Mus musculus: one gene and its partners. The protein of the gene in region 1 purifies or fractionates together with the protein of each later gene. This does not show direct contact. Links are inferred from orthologs where the notes say so. Each region holds a gene or a part of one and is shown in the gene's direction. Other genes may lie near its edges.

Region 1 (3,561 bases):
AAAAGTATAGTGGAATAAGAAATGTTTTCTGAAGTGATTTTTATGATACACATATTGTCCAAGTAAAGGAAGAACTTGAGGTATTTATGAAATACACAAAGTCAATAAAATAGTTAGTAATTACTCTTTTCACATAGCTTTCTTTTAATCACTATATTTAATTTTATTTTAAACAAATCTTTACTATATTAAGCTACTTTATTGTGCAGTACATTAAGGTTAGGAGTTTAGGTAAGTATAGTAAAGGTAGAATCCTGAAAAGTAATACAAATTTTAGGCTTACTTACAGTGTGTTTGCTTTTTATTAAATTGGGATTGTAGGAAAATTTCTTTTCTTTAATTTTCGGGCTTGAATTCAGGTCTTTACTCATCCTGTAAAAACAGTCTGCTGGCAAGCTAAGCCTGTTTAGTTTTTTGTTTGTTGTTAGAGAAGTATTACTTGCTATAGACATCCAAGCTCTATAAAAGTTACCAAGTGCAGGAAGCCATGCTTATGTTTAAACTTCTTATGAGCTGAGGTGTCTTTGCTTGAAGATTCGTACTGATTAGGTTAATGGCGTTGTTTCATATCTAGCTCTGTGTGTCCTTTTTAATTAGGTAGAATAACTTATGTTACTTTAAAAAAAAGCCAAAACATTATAGATCATTTATTCCTTCTCTTGAATGAATTTTACAGTTCTTTGACTATTCAGAACTTTTTCTTGTTGCTGGAAAGTGAATTGTTTACAAAAGTGAGGGTAGTATAGAGTATTTCATATTTAATATTTTGATGCATCCTATTGGTGGCATACTTAAAATTGGTATATCTAGTTCTTAGATGTTTGAATTCATTTTACAGAAGAGTCTGCAGAGGAATCGGTTGCTATCAGCATTGCACAAATGGAAAAACGTGTACTCCATGGCTTAATTCATAATGTTCTGCCATATGTTGGTACCTCTGTAAAAACTTTAGTGTTAGCGTACAGCTCTGCAGTCTCCAGCAAAATGGTATGTACAAATGAACACTAGCTCGAGTATTAAGGAAAATAGCAGTGAGACAACTTTAGTTTACTTATTAATGTTTAAGAGGGAAAAAATAGTGTCTTCCCATGGATAGGAGTACACTGTTCGCATTCATATAATTTCATTTCTTAGGGTATTCTATGTAGCATAGAAATCTTGCCTGTGTTATAGATAAGGGAACTAAAACTAGGCAGCTAAGCGTTTACTTGGCTTTATAGATGTTACGTGGTGAGTCTTAATTCTATAGAGTTGATTATAACATGTAAGGCATAGGAAGATGCACAAGTGAGATAATTAGTTTTATAAAATTATGACTTCCTACATATAATCTCCTTGAGTATTCCTTTAAAAGGGTGATTTTTCTGGGTCTAATTTCTAAGAAACTTTAAGAAGATTACTAGAAATATGGGCCCAGGGATTGGAGAGGTAAAAGTTCATTTGGTAAAGTGCCTTTTGTGCAAGTGTGAGACCCTGGATCCCCAGAATGTAGATATATGTATAATGGCATGTATTTGTAACCATAGTGCTGGGACCAGGAGAAATGGGTGCAGAGACAGGCAGATACCTGGTGCTTACTGTGCAGTTACACTAGCAGAACCTATGGTTTAGAGTTCAGCGAGAGATTGTGGCTCAAAATTAGATGGAGGGAGACACACTGGCTTAACTTCAGGCCTCCACACACACCTCACCAAAACAGAATTTGAGCACAGAGTGTAACTATTTTAGTGCATTGTTGGAGTGATTTTTTTTTTTTCTTTCAGTATGCATGTAGACTTAGGAAAAAACCACGGTGTTATATTTATCATTGTTGCTTTTCTAACTGAAGTTCCCACAGGTCCTCACAGTGGATTTCCTTTCCTTCTTAGGTTAGGCAGATTTTAGAGCTTTGTCCTAACCTGGAACATCTGGATCTTACCCAGACCGACATTTCTGATTCTGCATTTGACAGGTTAATTATTTTAAATATCTAAATATAGTAAATAAAATAAAACAAAGCCAGCAAAAGATTGTCTATTTTCTTGTTTACATAATTGCTGTTTACTAATCCTACCCTGTATTGTTACTAAACCCCTGCCATGTATGGTGGTAACTTGATAGAACCTTCCCAAGTTTTCCCTTGTTCACATGTGGCAGCCGATCCAGAACATCATACTTGCCATTTGTATGTCTTATCTAGCTTGCTAGGCTTGCTCTGTAACTGTTGTCTCGGTCAGTATTACTGTTCTCAAGGTTTTATTCCAGATTTTAAGTGCCTTTTCACAGAGCTCCTTTAACGTAATTCATTGTTTTTTGGTTCAGTACCAGTCTGTTCAAGCCAGACAAATGATTCTTCCTTGGAGATTGCTAGGTTTCTTGTTATTTTAGCTCTCCTTTCTTCACAGTTCTGATAGATCCTATTTCAAAGGGAGAGACAGGGTCTTTACCTGTTTCTAGAGTTTGTTTCTTCTGTATCTTCATTATATTTAGCAATTCTTTCATGTGTGTGCTGCCTCCCCTTTAACTGCTTACTTAGTGTACAGGAAACTAAATCTCTCCTATTCATTTTTTTCTGCTTTCTTTTTTCCTTCTTTAATTACTCGTCTTAGTATTTTTTTCTTATCCTTAGCACTTAACATATTCCCTGATGATTGAAATTCCAGAAATGTTAAAGTATCGATTTTGTACTTACAGTAATGCTCTTACCCATCTATCTGTATGTATAGTTTAATGCTTTTCAGGAATTTAATAGTCTTCTTCCCTCTTGTAGTTGGTCTTGGCTCGGTTGCTGCCAGAGTCTTCGGCATCTTGATCTGTCTGGATGTGAAAAAATCACAGACATGGCTCTAGAGAAGATTTCTAGAGCTCTTGGAGTTCTGACATCTCATCAGAGTGGCTTTCTGAAAAGTGCAGGCAAGGCTGCTTCAACTCCATGGACAAGTAAAGACATTACCATGCCATCCACCACGCAGTATGCCTGTTTGCACAATTTAACTGACAAAGGCATTGGTGAAGAAATAGACAACGAGCACTCTTGGACTGAACCTGTGTCTTCTGAAAGTTTGACTTCTCCTTATGTGTGGATGCTAGATGCTGAAGATTTGGCTGATATTGAAGATGCTGTAGAGTGGAGACACAGAAATGTTGAGAGTCTCTGTGTGATGGAAACAGCCTCCAACTTTGGTTGTTCCTCATCTGGTTGTTACAGTAAGGACATTGTGGGATTAAGGACTAGTGTCTGTTGGCAGCAGCATTGTGCTTCTCCAGCCTTTGCATATTGTGGTCATTCATTCTGTTGTACAGGGACAGCTTTAAGAACTATGACTACACTCCCAGCGACTTCTGCAATGTGTAGAAAAGCATTAAGGACTACATTGCCCAGGGGGAAAGACTTAATTTATTTTGGGAGTGAAAAGTCTGACCAAGAGACTGGACGAGTACTTTTGTTCCTCAGTCTGTCTGGATGTTACCAGATCACAGACCATGGTCTCAGGTGGGTGATCAGCCCTAGTTGTTAGGAAATGGATGTATTTGCACATGAAATATTACATTACTGATCTAAGTTTTTCACTTGGCTTTTTT
Region 2 (3,948 bases), on another chromosome or scaffold:
GACATATATAACATCACGAGGGAAATTATTGAGCATGTGAAGCAAGACAGGACACTGGCAAACTTGGTACCGAGTAATGAAGAGCAGCACAGATATATGGTGGAGGAAACACAGGATGACTCGTTGGATAAAGGCATTTACTGCAATGACTGAAGATGACCTGCGTTCTATCCCTGGAAACCATACACTAGAAGAGAGAACCCCTCCTGAAACTTGTCCTCTGACCTCCACTTAACACATTGTGGCATGTGCCCTCTTCTCAAATGTAGTTAAAATTTTAATGAATGTGAGAATCTTCCCGACAGTGCTGGAAATCCCAGTGGGGTTGAGATGGAAAAACTGCTGCAGCCTGACCCAGAGCTCAGAGGTCCCTTAAGTCCCCTTGGCCCCAGGAGAACTTACATTGCTGGATCAGAGGTCCCATCCTTTACACAGTTTAGGTGGCCCAGGGGTATAAACCACAGCATCCCTAGAGGCAGCTTGGCGAAGGGAACTAGCAGGAAGGCGTGGACACCCACATCAATACCACTCAAATGAAAGAGATTTCCCCATGTGACTGGTCATGATGGGACTGGAAATGTACAGATGGCATCAAAGTTGAGTCTGTTCTATCAGCGGGCGCCGCACTGTGGGTGTTGCTACCTCCTTGTGACCTTTAGGTCAGCCTTGTCAAAGTACTCTTTGTTTTCAAACACTGTTTTTACCCACTACAAGACCCCAGCTTATCCATCCAGGCTCACTGAGGGACCTCTGGACCTGCTGCCATCATTCAGTCCTGCGAGCAGTCAGCCATGGGCCACGTGTGCTGGTCCCAATGGCACAAGTCTGTCTTCCACCAACCCTGCCTCTCCTGAGTTACGAAAAAGACTGTGGGAATTATATGTGCAATTTCCCATTCTTTAGACAAGCTGGACATGACATCACCCATGCCAAGAATGATATTTCTGCCTGCTAAGGCATTCGTGGCCTCCATAGCCTGGCTGACAGCAAAGGAGACAGTCTGGTAGGGAGGGGTTATAGGATAAATTAAGTGCTGCCTTCTCAGGGCAGATCAGATTCAAGTGGCCTAGAGGTCACCACGGTCTACATTAGGATGCTCTGAGGTGAGAGTTTAGGATCGCGTATCTACTTAACAAGCATGTAACTAGTGCTGCCGATTCCTACTAGAGGAAACCAGCGTGTCATTAGATCTACGGTTCTACGATAGCGTGACAGCGAGCTGGAGCGTCCCAAGGCCCAATCACAAGGAGCCTTTAGTGCCCTTGTCAGACGGTGTTGGCTTCCTGCGATCCAGCTCCCAACAGGATCCCACGGCTAAGAACCGAAGGGACGCCCCGGCGAGAGCTACCAACATTTTTCCCGCTTTCGGAGTAGCCCGCACGACAAATACACCGCTTCTAGCAAACTACTCGCCGAATCCCTGGAGTGTGGCGTGTCCCTTGCACGACCCCGTAGCCACACCACGCCCTCTCCTCGTTCCCAGGAAGTGCGCGGAAGGAGCGGAAGTACACACCACCGGGGGATTGTGGGAACCGCGGTTCCGGGATGGTGGGCGGCGGCGGTAGCGGCGGCGGGCTCTTAGAGAACGCTAACCCCCTCATCTATGAGCGTTCCGGGGAGCGGCCAGTGACGGCGGGCGAGGAAGATGAGGAAGTGCCGGACAGCATCGACGCCCGGGAGATCTTCGATATCCGTCGCTGCAGGGCGCTGGCGGGACGGTGGGGGCTTGGGGTGTCGGCAAGAAGTGATGCGCAGCCCGCTGGTGGAGGGGTGTCCCGGTTAGGCGTTGCCTGCGGAGATTTTGAGTGGGCCAAAACTTAGAGTCCCTTTTCCTTCACTTGGCACATCTTATCCGCTCCATTAATGACCCGGAGCATCCACTGACACTGGAGGAATTGAACGTAGTAGAGCAAGTTCGGATTCAGGTGAGTAGTTTACTCGAGTAATCAAAAAGGTACCGTTGTACCTCAGAGGCTGGTGTTCTCCGTTCACAAGCCCCCAAGAGGATCTGTGGGAGGTGTGTTAATGTTTATGGAGCCGATAAAAAGTTGGGTGACTTGCCCAAATCGATAAACTAAAGAGTGTCTTTGGGCTAGGGGCCGCCGTGCGATCACTGCGATCTGATCTCCCTTGTCATCGCAGGTTAGCGACCCAGAGAGCACAGTAGCAGTGGCCTTCACACCCACCATCCCACACTGCAGCATGGCCACGCTTATTGGCCTCTCCATCAAAGTCAAGCTGCTGCGATCCCTTCCCCAGCGGTTCAAGGTCAGTTGGAGTCAAGCCCCCGAGGGTGAAACAAACTACTGGGGCGGGCGAGGGGACATCGGGCGGAGATCGGAAGGATCCGAACTCGCAGAGTTGAACCCCCAAGTTGATGTGACAAGAATATTGGGGGGAAAAAACTCCAGAAAATAGGAGTGTGGTGGAAAGGGCAGCTGGGAGCTGTGAATGGGCGTGATCGATCGAGGCACTGGAAGGCTTTTAAAGTCAATAGTCGCTGACTAGGTCCTAGGGTAAAAGTGGATTGACTGACTGCAGGTGGGTTTGGGGTGGCTTGGAAGAGCCAGAATCAAGAGGGGTGACTGGGAGTTCAGATGGTTGGGAGGTAGTGTCCAAAAGAAAAGGACAGGCGGGTAAATGCTCGGGCCCACATTGTCTTTCCTGCAGATGGATGTACACATTACACCCGGGACCCACGCCTCCGAGCATGCAGGTTAGTGTGGACTGCTGGGCCCCAAACTAGGTGAGGCTTCCCCTTTGCCACAGTCATCTGTGGGGGCAAGATTAGGACCAGGGGACTAAGTGAATAAAATGGCCATACTACAGCTTAGACCAAAGCTGGCCTGACTGAAATCTCCTGCTTCCCATGACCCACCCTCCTGTGGTCCTCAAGTACACAGGGACATTGGGTCGGGCTTCAGGAAACACTGGAGGGAGGCAGACATAAGCAGTCCCTGGTGGTGACGGGCATTCCAAATGATGAAGCTAGTTATGGGTACAGGTGATGCATATAGCCTGATCCAGGCTTGGAGTCCTGAGACTATCAGAAAAGAACTTTATTGGTAGAAATATAATGTATACTGAGGCTAGCAACCTGGCCCAAGTTTGCTTTAATCCTGTTTTTCCACCCTTCTTTTCCTACCCAGTGAACAAACAACTTGCAGATAAGGAGCGAGTGGCAGCTGCCCTGGAGAATACACACCTGCTTGAGGTTGTTAATCAGTGTTTATCCGCCCGCTCGTGAGCCTGGCTTTGGACCCCCAGCCTGCACTCAGGTTGTCCTGGCCTCAGCTCCACCAAGGGCTCATGGCTTTGTTTTCTTGAATCACTGACAAGGAGAAACTTAACACTTTTTATTTTGTAATAAACCCTTAATTTATATTCATTTCCCAGTATGCCTTAGCGTCTCTCATAGTGGACTCATTTTCGGTTGTAGTAGAGTGGGGTGGGGACCTATGAAGGGTGGGTCCATGAGGTGCCCTCATTGCTTCTGATAACTCCCAGTGGGGCTGGAAAAATGGCTCAACAGTTAAAAACACTTACTGCTCTTAAGATCTGGGTTAGGTTCCCAGCGCCCAAGTTACAACCATCTGTAACTTCAGTTCCAGAGGATCTTACATTCTCTTCTTGCCTCCAAAGGCACCAGGAACACATGTGATACACACATGTATAGGCAAATACTCATACATATAAAGTAAATCAGCAAGCTGTATATAGTGGTACAAACTTTTTAGTCCCAGCACTCAGGAGACTGAGGCAAGCACATCTATGATTTTGACAACAGCTTGGTCTACATAGAGAGTTCCAGGACAGCCAAGGCAGTTATAGGGAGACCCTGTCTCAAAAAATAATAATAATTTTTAAAAATTTGTTTAGCCTTTCCAATGTTTCAGATACCAAAGGTTGCAAATGATAAAAATTAAAATTTGAAGAAATATATACATA
Region 3 (4,350 bases), on another chromosome or scaffold:
CAAGAGCTGAGAACGCTCCTAACAAACACGAAGGCGACGCTCACCCCGCACCCCACCTTTCCTAGACTCCCAGACAGCCACCGAGGCTCCAAAAAGCCGTGTGGAGAGGTGGGAGGAAATAAAGATTTCTATTTTCCATGGTCCTGCACTGCTTTTTACAAGTCGGATTCCCGCAGACAACGACCTGCAGCCCGATAATGACACAGTGACTCGCTGGAATGAGCGACTGTGTTCGCCTCGATCGCTCCGACTTCTGGGGACGCAGGCTGCCCACGCCGCGCCCCGGCCGGCCGCCGGCCGACCCTGGCCGGGGCTGCCAGATCCGCGGCGCACTCGCTTGGCCCCCTCCGCCAGCCTCGTCGCGGTCTGGAAACATTTCCTGCCCCCGCCCCCATCCCCAGCTTCCCGGTGGGAGCGAGTTGGCCTCCCGGCCGGGTCAGCGCTCGCAGTTACCCCAACTCGCTTCCCAGACAGCCCGCGCCGGGGAGGGCCCCGTCTGGCTCCGAGAAGCCGTGGGGGAACCCAAGCGCCCGGCGCCGAGCGAGGTCGCTCGGGAACCCCAAGGTTCGGGCAAGGCAAGGGCCAACTGGCAGCGCGCCGGGACCCCGCTGCCTTTCCTGGCGTTACCTGCTCGCTTGCGGGGGTGTCCCGGAGCAGCCGGCCTCTCCCGGCGCTGTCTCCCCACGCAGTTGCCCATGCTGGCTTCTCAGCCGGTCCCCCATGCACCAGAGGCGGCGGTCGGCCGGCTGCTCCACGCTGCTGCCCCGAACCGCGGCGTCCCCGGGTCAACGACTCCCGCAGCCCGACATCGAGAGCTCCTGGATCTCCCCTGGGGAGCGCTCTGCCCGACGCCGGCTTCGCCACAAACTTTGCGGGCCAGCGGAGAGGGAGGTGGCCAGGCCAGGGGGGCCCGCGACAGTGCCCGGCCAGAGACCAGCCCGGCTGGAGGGGCGGAGGGAGGGGGCGGACACCGCCGCAGCTACTCCAGGATCACTCCGAGCTCCCAGCTGGGGCCGGCCCCCCGGAGCCTGTCACTCACCTGCCTAACCCCGCCCCGGCCCGGCCCCGCTCCCTTCCTCCCGCTTGGGGTGGCCGCGCCACGGTCGCCAGCCGCCCCAGGTGCGCATGTGACCGACGGCACCGCCCCTCGGGCCGGGTCTGGTTTTCTCATTGGCTTTTCCCAGGATGCGTACCGCCCCTCGGCCCCACCCAGCCAGGTGCCCGCCCTGTCGCCCGTCTCCCGGGGAGAGCGGCCGGGAATTATGCGCCCTCAACCGCCCCGGCTGCGTGCCCGGCAGTCACTTCCCCTCCCGGAGCCGCGCCCCGGCCCAGGCCCCGCCCTCTGGGGAGGGGCCGTTAGGTCCCTGAAGGGACTGCCTGGCCCAGAGCCGGCAGGCACGTGACCTGGAGGTGCCCCGCCCCTGAAGTCTGCGCCCAACTATTGGCCATGGAGGCGCGTGCGCGGAGAGACACATCTCGTAGCCACACCCACTTCCCCCTCCCACAATCTCTGGCTAGCGTCATGGCTGCCGCCACCGGTCTGGAGGAGGCAGTGGCGCCTATGGGCGCCCTGTGTGGCCTCGTGCAAGACTTCGTCATGGGTCAACAGGAGGGGCCCGCTGACCAGGTGGCTGCAGGTATGGCAAACAACGCCGCGAGGCTTCTGCAGGGGCCGGACCGCAGGGAGCGGCCTCAGCACCCGCGCGCGGCGGGAAGGGAGTGAAGGGAGAGGTGATTGTGATTGGTCCTCTGGCCGCTCTGCCCCCGCTGGGAGCGCTACTGCCCTAACAAGTTGGAGAGTCGCTTGCATCTTCCTTAAAGCTTTCTTTACATTCCGCATCTCGCTGTGGTCCATAGAGAATCATTACATTTCTCCGAGAGTAATAGACTTGTGCAAGGCACAGACGAGTCCGGAAGTGGAGCTGGGACTTGGACTCGGGTGTTCTGGTCCAAACCTGGTGCTTGCACCGCAGGACCGCGTTGTTTGCGGAGTGTTAGGTGAGAAGGTCTGGGTTCCAAGGGTTACGCTCCGGCCTCTTGCCTTCCTGGAAGTAGCGTGCGCTCCAGCTGTTTGAGTGGTTGTAATTGGATGGAGGAGGGGAGGAGCCAGTCTGGCTCTAGGTCGGTGGGCGTGTAGATGACTAGTGTCTTTAAAGATTCACTTATGTGTCTTAGTAGGCTTTAAAAAAAAGAATATATATATATATATAGTATGTGAGTACGCTGTCAGACACACCAGGAGAGGACATCGGATCCCATTATAGATGATTGTGAGCCATCATATGGTTGCTGGGAATTAAACTCAGGACCTCTTCAAGAGCAGTCTGTCCTCTTAATTGTTGAGCTATCTCTCCAGCCCCAAATAGGCTTTTTGATAAATTAGATTTATAACTTTTTAATGTCCCATTTTTTTATCCTTCTTCCCAGAGTTCCAATTTCAGGAATCTCTCAGTTCCGAGTTTATCCAGGATTTGAACAAATCCAGGGTGCCTCTTTAGAATTCTTTCTGAATGTTGAATGTTAGGCCTTCAGTGTCGGGTTTAAGAAATAGAATAAAAAATGGATATAGATGCGGGTTTTTAAAAATTATGTTTGGAAGTTTATGGGTGAAGAAGTTTCTTTAGCAAATTGAACAGATTAATTTTTAGAATATGTGAGAAATGAACTGCTAGAAATATATGTTGGTCCTTAGCAATAGTCCACATTCTCTGCCATTCTATTATTTCTGAGCACGTATTTTTTACCCAGCATGAAAAGAATTGAGGACAGAAATACAAATAAGATACTATCTATGGCCATCAAACTATTATAATTAGTGAGAGAAAGAACTGTGTTGTAAGAGGTAAATATATGGTTCCAGAGCATCAAGGGGCAAAAATGCCTGCTATTGGCTGGGCTTGGTAGTGCATTCCTTTAGTTCCAGGATTTGGCAGGGGGGTGGCAAGTTTGCTAGTGAGTTCTAGGCCAGCCTCAGCTACAGTGTGAGCCCCAATCTCAGAAAGAAAATAAAGCCCCTGGTACTTGCACTTAAGCTTATAACATTTTACAACTTAATCAAGTATAGTCTGTTATGGGTTATTATCAATGCCATTTCCCCCCAGATTTTACTATGGAGATTTCACAGCATTTAACAAAATCTAAAGAATTTTAATTTTTAGTTATTTATCTGTTTGTGTATTGTCTTTTGAGACAGGCTCTCTCTGTGTTGCCCTGGCTATCCTGAAACTCTGTAGACCAGGCTGGTCTTGGACTCAAAGATCTAAATCCCCCTCCCAAATGCTGGGATGACGGGCATGCACTACCCCTGCCCAACTTAAATTTTTTTTTAAAGATCATAGACTCACTACTTAGAGCCTATCACTAACATTTTTTTCTTTAATTTGAATTGTCACAAACCTACCCATTTAAACTGCAGAGATCAATACATTAATCTCTAACTTCTTTATCGAGCTCCTCATTGACTAGTGTTTGCTTTTGGTTTGTTTGGGGGGTAAACTTTAGATCCGGTGAACTATATATCAGGACCGTTGTTTTCACAGAAGCTTAGATATACTTAAACCCACCCCCATACCAAGATAGATGTTACTATATTAATGTTATCTGTAATTGTTCTTCCACATTTGTGCACTCTGGGAATAATAATTTTGGATTTTATGGATGCATAACACATCTTTAAAAGACAGCTTAAATAACTGCCTTCTTATTTTTTCATAAAATACCTTTTTTTGTTATGTCAAAAAAGGGAGCCTGAACTATCATCTTGTTTTAGTGTTTCTATTGCTATGACTAAACTCCATGACCAGAAAGCAAGTTGGGGAGGAAAGGGTTTATTTGGCTTGTACTCGGAGATCACAGTCAATCATTGGAGGAATTCAGGACAGGAACTCAAACCTGGAAGCAAGAGCTGATGCAGAGGCCATGGAGGGTGCTGCTTACTGGTTTGTTCCCTGTGGCTTGCTCAGCCTGCTTTCTTACGGGAGCCAGGACCACTAGCTCAGGGATGGTACCACCCAGAATGGGATGGGTCCTCCCTCATTGATCACTAATTGAGAAAATGCTTTACAGCTGGATCTCATGGAGGCATTTCCTCAACGGATGCTCCTTCCTCAGTGATGACTCTAGCTTGTGTCAGGTTGACACAAAACTAGCCAGTGCATGTATGGTTTAAAATCTACTCTGTAGTACCTGTGTAAGTGAACCCTATTGTAATTTATTCCTCTTAACAAAAGGAAGGTTGGTACAAAGGAATAGTAGCCAGTAAGGTTGAATGGGTTGATGGAGCCGGATTATATATAACCCTGAACTCCAGCGGTAAGGTCTGAATGGCTTGTTTTAGGTAATGGGTGTTCA
Region 4 (4,339 bases), on another chromosome or scaffold:
AACTCAATGTAGAAGCCTACACTGAATTTCCAAATGATCTGGGCAGCAAAACCTTACATCCTTTCATCTAGAGCTAATCAATCATGTTTCCAAATTCACATTGACTTGAGAGGCTAAACTGCTAAGCATGGACGGAACCCCCACTCAGTCTCACAGCTCAGACTTTAGATCGGTGGACAGCATGTGCTGTAATTAATGGGTTGCTGTAGGCTAAAACCAAGTTTTATATATAGAAAGTTTGCATTCTGTGTAAGCTACAGACATGTTGAAGTGTGCTCCTGATGTATACTTCCTGTGCTTTGAGCTAGTAATAACGGAGAAACTGCCTTTTATAAGAGCTGGGTGTGGTGGGACAGAACCTGCAGTCCCGGCACTTTAAAGGTAGATGTAGGGAGTCCAAGGTCTGGGGAGTTCCACCAAACAATGAGCTCTAAGCCTGCCTGGGGCCCATGAGTATCTGACTCAAAAATCAAACCAAAAACCCCAAACAACTAAACCCTCGGGAAGAAATCTAAAACAAAACAGTAGTTGGGGTAGGAATAGGAAGTGAAGGGCAAGGTGGAGGAGGTGGGGGACACTGGAAGAGGCACTCAGAAAACGTACTTACCACCCAGCATTTAAAAGAAAGGTGGCGTTTTGTGTGCCAACTTGACACAAATTAGTCATCAGAGAGGAAGGAGTCTCAGTTGAGAAAATGCCTCCATGAGATCCAGCTGTAAGGCATTTTCTCACCATTTTCTCAATGGGAGAGGGCCCAGCCCATGGTGAGTGGTCTCACCTAGGCTGGTAGTCCTGAGTTCTATGATAAAGCAGGCTGAGCAAGGCATGGAAGCAAGGCATTAAGCATCACCCCCACGGCCTCTGCATCAGTGCTTGCTTCCAGGTTCTAGCCCTGCTTGTGTTCCTGTCCTGACTTCCTCCAGTGAATTGGAAGTGTAAGCCAAATAAACCCCTTTCTCCTCAGCTTGCTTTTTGGTCATGGCGTTTCATCGCAGCAACAGAAATCCTAAGGCTCCCTACGTTAGTCAGGCAGTTACATGTCACACTCTGCCCCTCGTGAGGGACAGTCAGCCTTCTCCACGCTCCAAAAGAGGAAAAGCCTAGAAATCGGCTCTACACTTCCTGGGACTGAGCCACTAGCAAAGCTAGATGCAGCCTCGGGGCCCAGTTTCTCCCGCCTATGGGGAGGAGCCACGAAGATCAATAGCCTTCAGCTTCGGGCCTTCGGGCCTAGGAGGTACAGAGGGGTGGAGCAGGTCCTAGGCTCCGCCCCCGTCCGTGGCCACGAGTCTCTTGTTCTAGGGGTGGGACGGTGCCCAGCCCCTAAACCTGGCCATGTAGGGGCCTGGGACTCGTCCCTCGGTATGGTCTGCCTTCAGGCTCTGGAAAGAAGAGGTGTTCCCAAGCTCTGCCCCTTGGCCGCAACCTCAAGTCAGATCTGGGCCTTGGGGCGGAATAGGCCCTAGACTCCGCCCATCTGCCAAGATCGGAAGGTTCCGAAGGGAGGGCGCACCCGGACTAGACTGCAAGCTTCAGCCATCGCTTGCAGCTTCTAGAGGGAGGAGGTGCCCAGGCTCCGCCCCTCGGGGGGCGGAGTGAGGCCCGGGCCCCGCCCCTCTCCCGCAGCAGCTGGTTCCGGCCCGCTCTCCACCGGTCCCGCCTCGCTGCCGGAGCGTCCGGAGGACCGCTCAGTGGGAGGAGCGCGGAGTCGGCCTGGGACATTGCTAGCACCCGCCTGTGTGCTCCGGGAACTGCACTGTGAGCGGTGAGTACCACGCGGCCCCGGGGCGTCCGTGCAGGCCTTTCCCACGGGTGCAGACCCGAGGACACGGGGAGAGCTGCGGGGAGGCGGTGGAGCTGGCTCCTGGGGTGACCTCTCTACTCGCTCCCCAGCCTGCGTCGCTCTGGACTGGGAGTGGCTCTACTCGGCGCCCCGGGAGTTCTCGCCTTGGTGTGAGGGCCGCACCGCCGGGGTGTCATTGTGCCAGGCCCAGCCCACGGGATAGAAAGGAACGATTGTGCCCGGCAGATTGGAGTCCCCAGCACGGGGCGAAGGCAGGCGGGGTGAGGGTAAGAGCCCCCTCAGTGGAAGGGCATAGAGTCCAAGGTGATTGATTGAGAAACCCAAGGAGAACGGGACTGTACCACTCTGGCCAGCCCAGTGCACTAGAACCGCAGATCTCCCTGCAGCACGCATGACAGCCTCCCAGCAGAAGTTGCCGAACTTTTGCATTTAGGACCGGCAGCGCGCCTAAAGAACCTTTGTTATATAGATTGTACCTATTGATTTTTGCAGTGTATAAATACAGCGTATAGACACTTAATATACTTAATTCAGATAGACCGATTCTGTAGTTTCCAAAACACTGTTATTAAGAATGGCATTCTTTAACCTTCCTGCAAATCTCTGCTTAGAAGACACTCAGCCTGTTGCAGTATGACAGGTCATGTAGCTTCTGAAGACTTTTAAGTATATTGGTGAAAATGTAACATTGTATTGCTTAAAGAGTGGTTTTGACCGTCCAAACACCTGCGCCTGTGTTTCTCTGCAGCATACTTTAGAACCACCGAAGTAGCCAGTGCTTAGGAGGCATAGTTCACTGGGTTTGCCACTTTATTTATGGTTCTTCCATTCCGCACCGTGGAGGAGTTAACCTCTGATACCCAGGAGCACTCTGGACCTCACTTTCCAACGGAATACGAGATCCCCACAGTTGGTGGTGGCTTTGGGTGATGTTCATGTGTGCCTTGGTTGTTTCTGTGCCTGCTGAGTTGATGTGTGTAAACCTGATGTAGCACACCAGACCTGTGAGTTCAGGGAGGTGGGTGTGACTAGACCATGCCAAATGTGTAGGGGTTGCTGTAAGATTACCAAGCAGTTGAGAGGTCATGTCTAAAACACCAGGTGGCATGTTTTTGCCTCCTTATCCCTGTGTTCAGTTCTGTTGGGGGTTTCTAGCCTTGGGTCTGTTGAAGTATGGTGTCCCAGTCTCCGAATTCTGCCACTTCCACATTCCTGGTGAGCTCTGTGTGTGGTCCTGCCTCTGCCACTGGAAAGCAGTTGCCCATTGTGTCTGTGTGTGATAGATGGAACCCTGCATTAGAGTCTTTCCTTTGTTTCATGCTGTCTACAGGAATTTGAGATAGAAGTTATATACATATTATCAAAAAATGTATACCTCAAAGCAAACAAGTTTCTTAATCCTCTACCCAAAGAGGCTATTGTGTTCTGATTGAGCAGCTTCAGCACTTTAAGTAATACATTAGAAATGATTGTCCTCATGCTGTTGCTCCCACAGTCGGGAGAAGGGGGCTGGGATCTGAGCCCTTGTGTTCTTGTTATACACATTGTTGATACTGGAGCCTCTCTTATTCATCCTTGAGTAGATGTTTATCTCAGCTCCAACTCTTCTGGACCTTGGGAAATGAATGATTTTAGAAGGTGAAGGGCCTGTCTGGAATTTACAGTCAAGAGCATAGGTAAGTACCGTCCAGTTGAGATCATTTCCTGCCTGTATGTGTACATGAAACACGGTCATGTAAGAAAGCAATACCTGCTAGGAAGGTGTGCATCAAAAAAAGCACATGCAAAGGAAACCAGAGGCCTACATGTAAAGATGACAATTAAAATAAATGGTATTTATTACCTTTTCCCCGACAAACAACATTGTTTGTCTTGTTTGCTCCAATCTCCTGTCTTTTAGGAGCAGATACCTCCTCATGCGACCACTAGAGTCTGCATAGGAAAGTCCCTCCCAACCTGTGTCCGTTCTTGGCCTCGCATTGTGAAGGTTACTTCATCTCTCAGAACTTTCGTGTCTCTGACTTTCCAACTAGACTGTGGTTAGTAGGTGTCCCAAACACCCATGGTTTCCTGAGAGAGATTTATGCTAGTGTTTGTGCACGTGTCTTCTCAACTCTGTGTTCAGCAGTGTTACATTTCTGTAGCTTGAAATGGACCATAATGAGAATATTTATTTACAACATGGAAATCATCCAGCACTCCATGTATGAGTTTTTTTCTACCTGGGAACAAATTGCTAAACATTTACCAGCACACTGCTGCTGTTGGAGCCAAGGTGCATTTAATTTGGTTTCTTTTCTCTTTCTTTTCTCTCTTTCCTTCTTTCTTTCTTTCTTTCTTTCTTTCTTTCTTCCTTCTTTCCTTCCTTCCTTCCTTCCTTTCTTTTCTTTTTGTTTTTTTTGGCAAAGTCAGACTCCTTTGCCTGAACAAAGATATTAGGTATGAGGTGTTTTATTCAAGTCTTCCAAATTTTTGGTAGATGGGGACAGGGAAGGCTGTATTTAAAATATACTAATATTGATCAACATGTGTGTG

Evidence for each region. Proteins that work in one complex are often made in the same cells at the same time.
Region 2: the proteins of Fbxl5 (region 1) and Ciao2b purify together in Homo sapiens (affinity purification with mass spectrometry; 3 studies listed by BioGRID and IntAct, counting the BioPlex papers as one, with this or other methods). This does not show direct contact. The link is inferred for Mus musculus from reciprocal best matches to the Homo sapiens genes FBXL5 and CIAO2B.
Region 3: the proteins of Fbxl5 (region 1) and Mms19 purify together in Homo sapiens (affinity purification with mass spectrometry; 4 studies listed by BioGRID and IntAct, counting the BioPlex papers as one, with this or other methods). This does not show direct contact. The link is inferred for Mus musculus from reciprocal best matches to the Homo sapiens genes FBXL5 and MMS19.
Region 4: the proteins of Fbxl5 (region 1) and Aco1 purify together in Homo sapiens (affinity purification with western blotting; 3 studies listed by BioGRID, with this or other methods). This does not show direct contact. The link is inferred for Mus musculus from reciprocal best matches to the Homo sapiens genes FBXL5 and ACO1.

The regions. Positions count from the first base shown.
Region 1 is NC_000071.6:43,758,133-43,761,693, reverse strand, and holds part of Fbxl5 (F-box/LRR-repeat protein 5), read left to right. Parts: intron 1-838; coding exon 839-987; intron 988-1,868; coding exon 1,869-1,951; intron 1,952-2,749; coding exon 2,750-3,472; coding exon of another isoform or gene 3,473-3,497; exon of another isoform or gene 3,498-3,561.
Region 2 is NC_000074.6:104,639,288-104,643,235, reverse strand, and holds Ciao2b (cytosolic iron-sulfur assembly component 2B), read left to right. Parts: upstream 1-1,507; 5' UTR 1,508-1,545; coding exon 1,546-1,687; intron 1,688-1,845; coding exon 1,846-1,925; intron 1,926-2,142; coding exon 2,143-2,268; intron 2,269-2,670; coding exon 2,671-2,716; intron 2,717-3,149; coding exon 3,150-3,247; 3' UTR 3,248-3,397; downstream 3,398-3,948.
Region 3 is NC_000085.6:41,978,286-41,982,635, reverse strand, and holds the start of Mms19 (MMS19 nucleotide excision repair protein homolog), read left to right. Parts: upstream 1-1,499; 5' UTR 1,500-1,522; coding exon 1,523-1,637; intron 1,638-4,350. Other genes in the region: Ubtd1 (ubiquitin domain-containing protein 1), read right to left, coding at 628-697. UniProt on the Homo sapiens protein: Key component of the cytosolic iron-sulfur protein assembly (CIA) complex, a multiprotein complex that mediates the incorporation of iron-sulfur cluster into apoproteins specifically involved in DNA metabolism and genomic integrity.
Region 4 is NC_000070.6:40,141,777-40,146,115, forward strand, and holds the start of Aco1 (cytoplasmic aconitate hydratase), read left to right. Parts: upstream 1-1,488; 5' UTR 1,489-1,765; intron 1,766-4,339. UniProt on the Homo sapiens protein: Bifunctional iron sensor that switches between 2 activities depending on iron availability. Iron deprivation, promotes its mRNA binding activity through which it regulates the expression of genes involved in iron uptake, sequestration and utilization.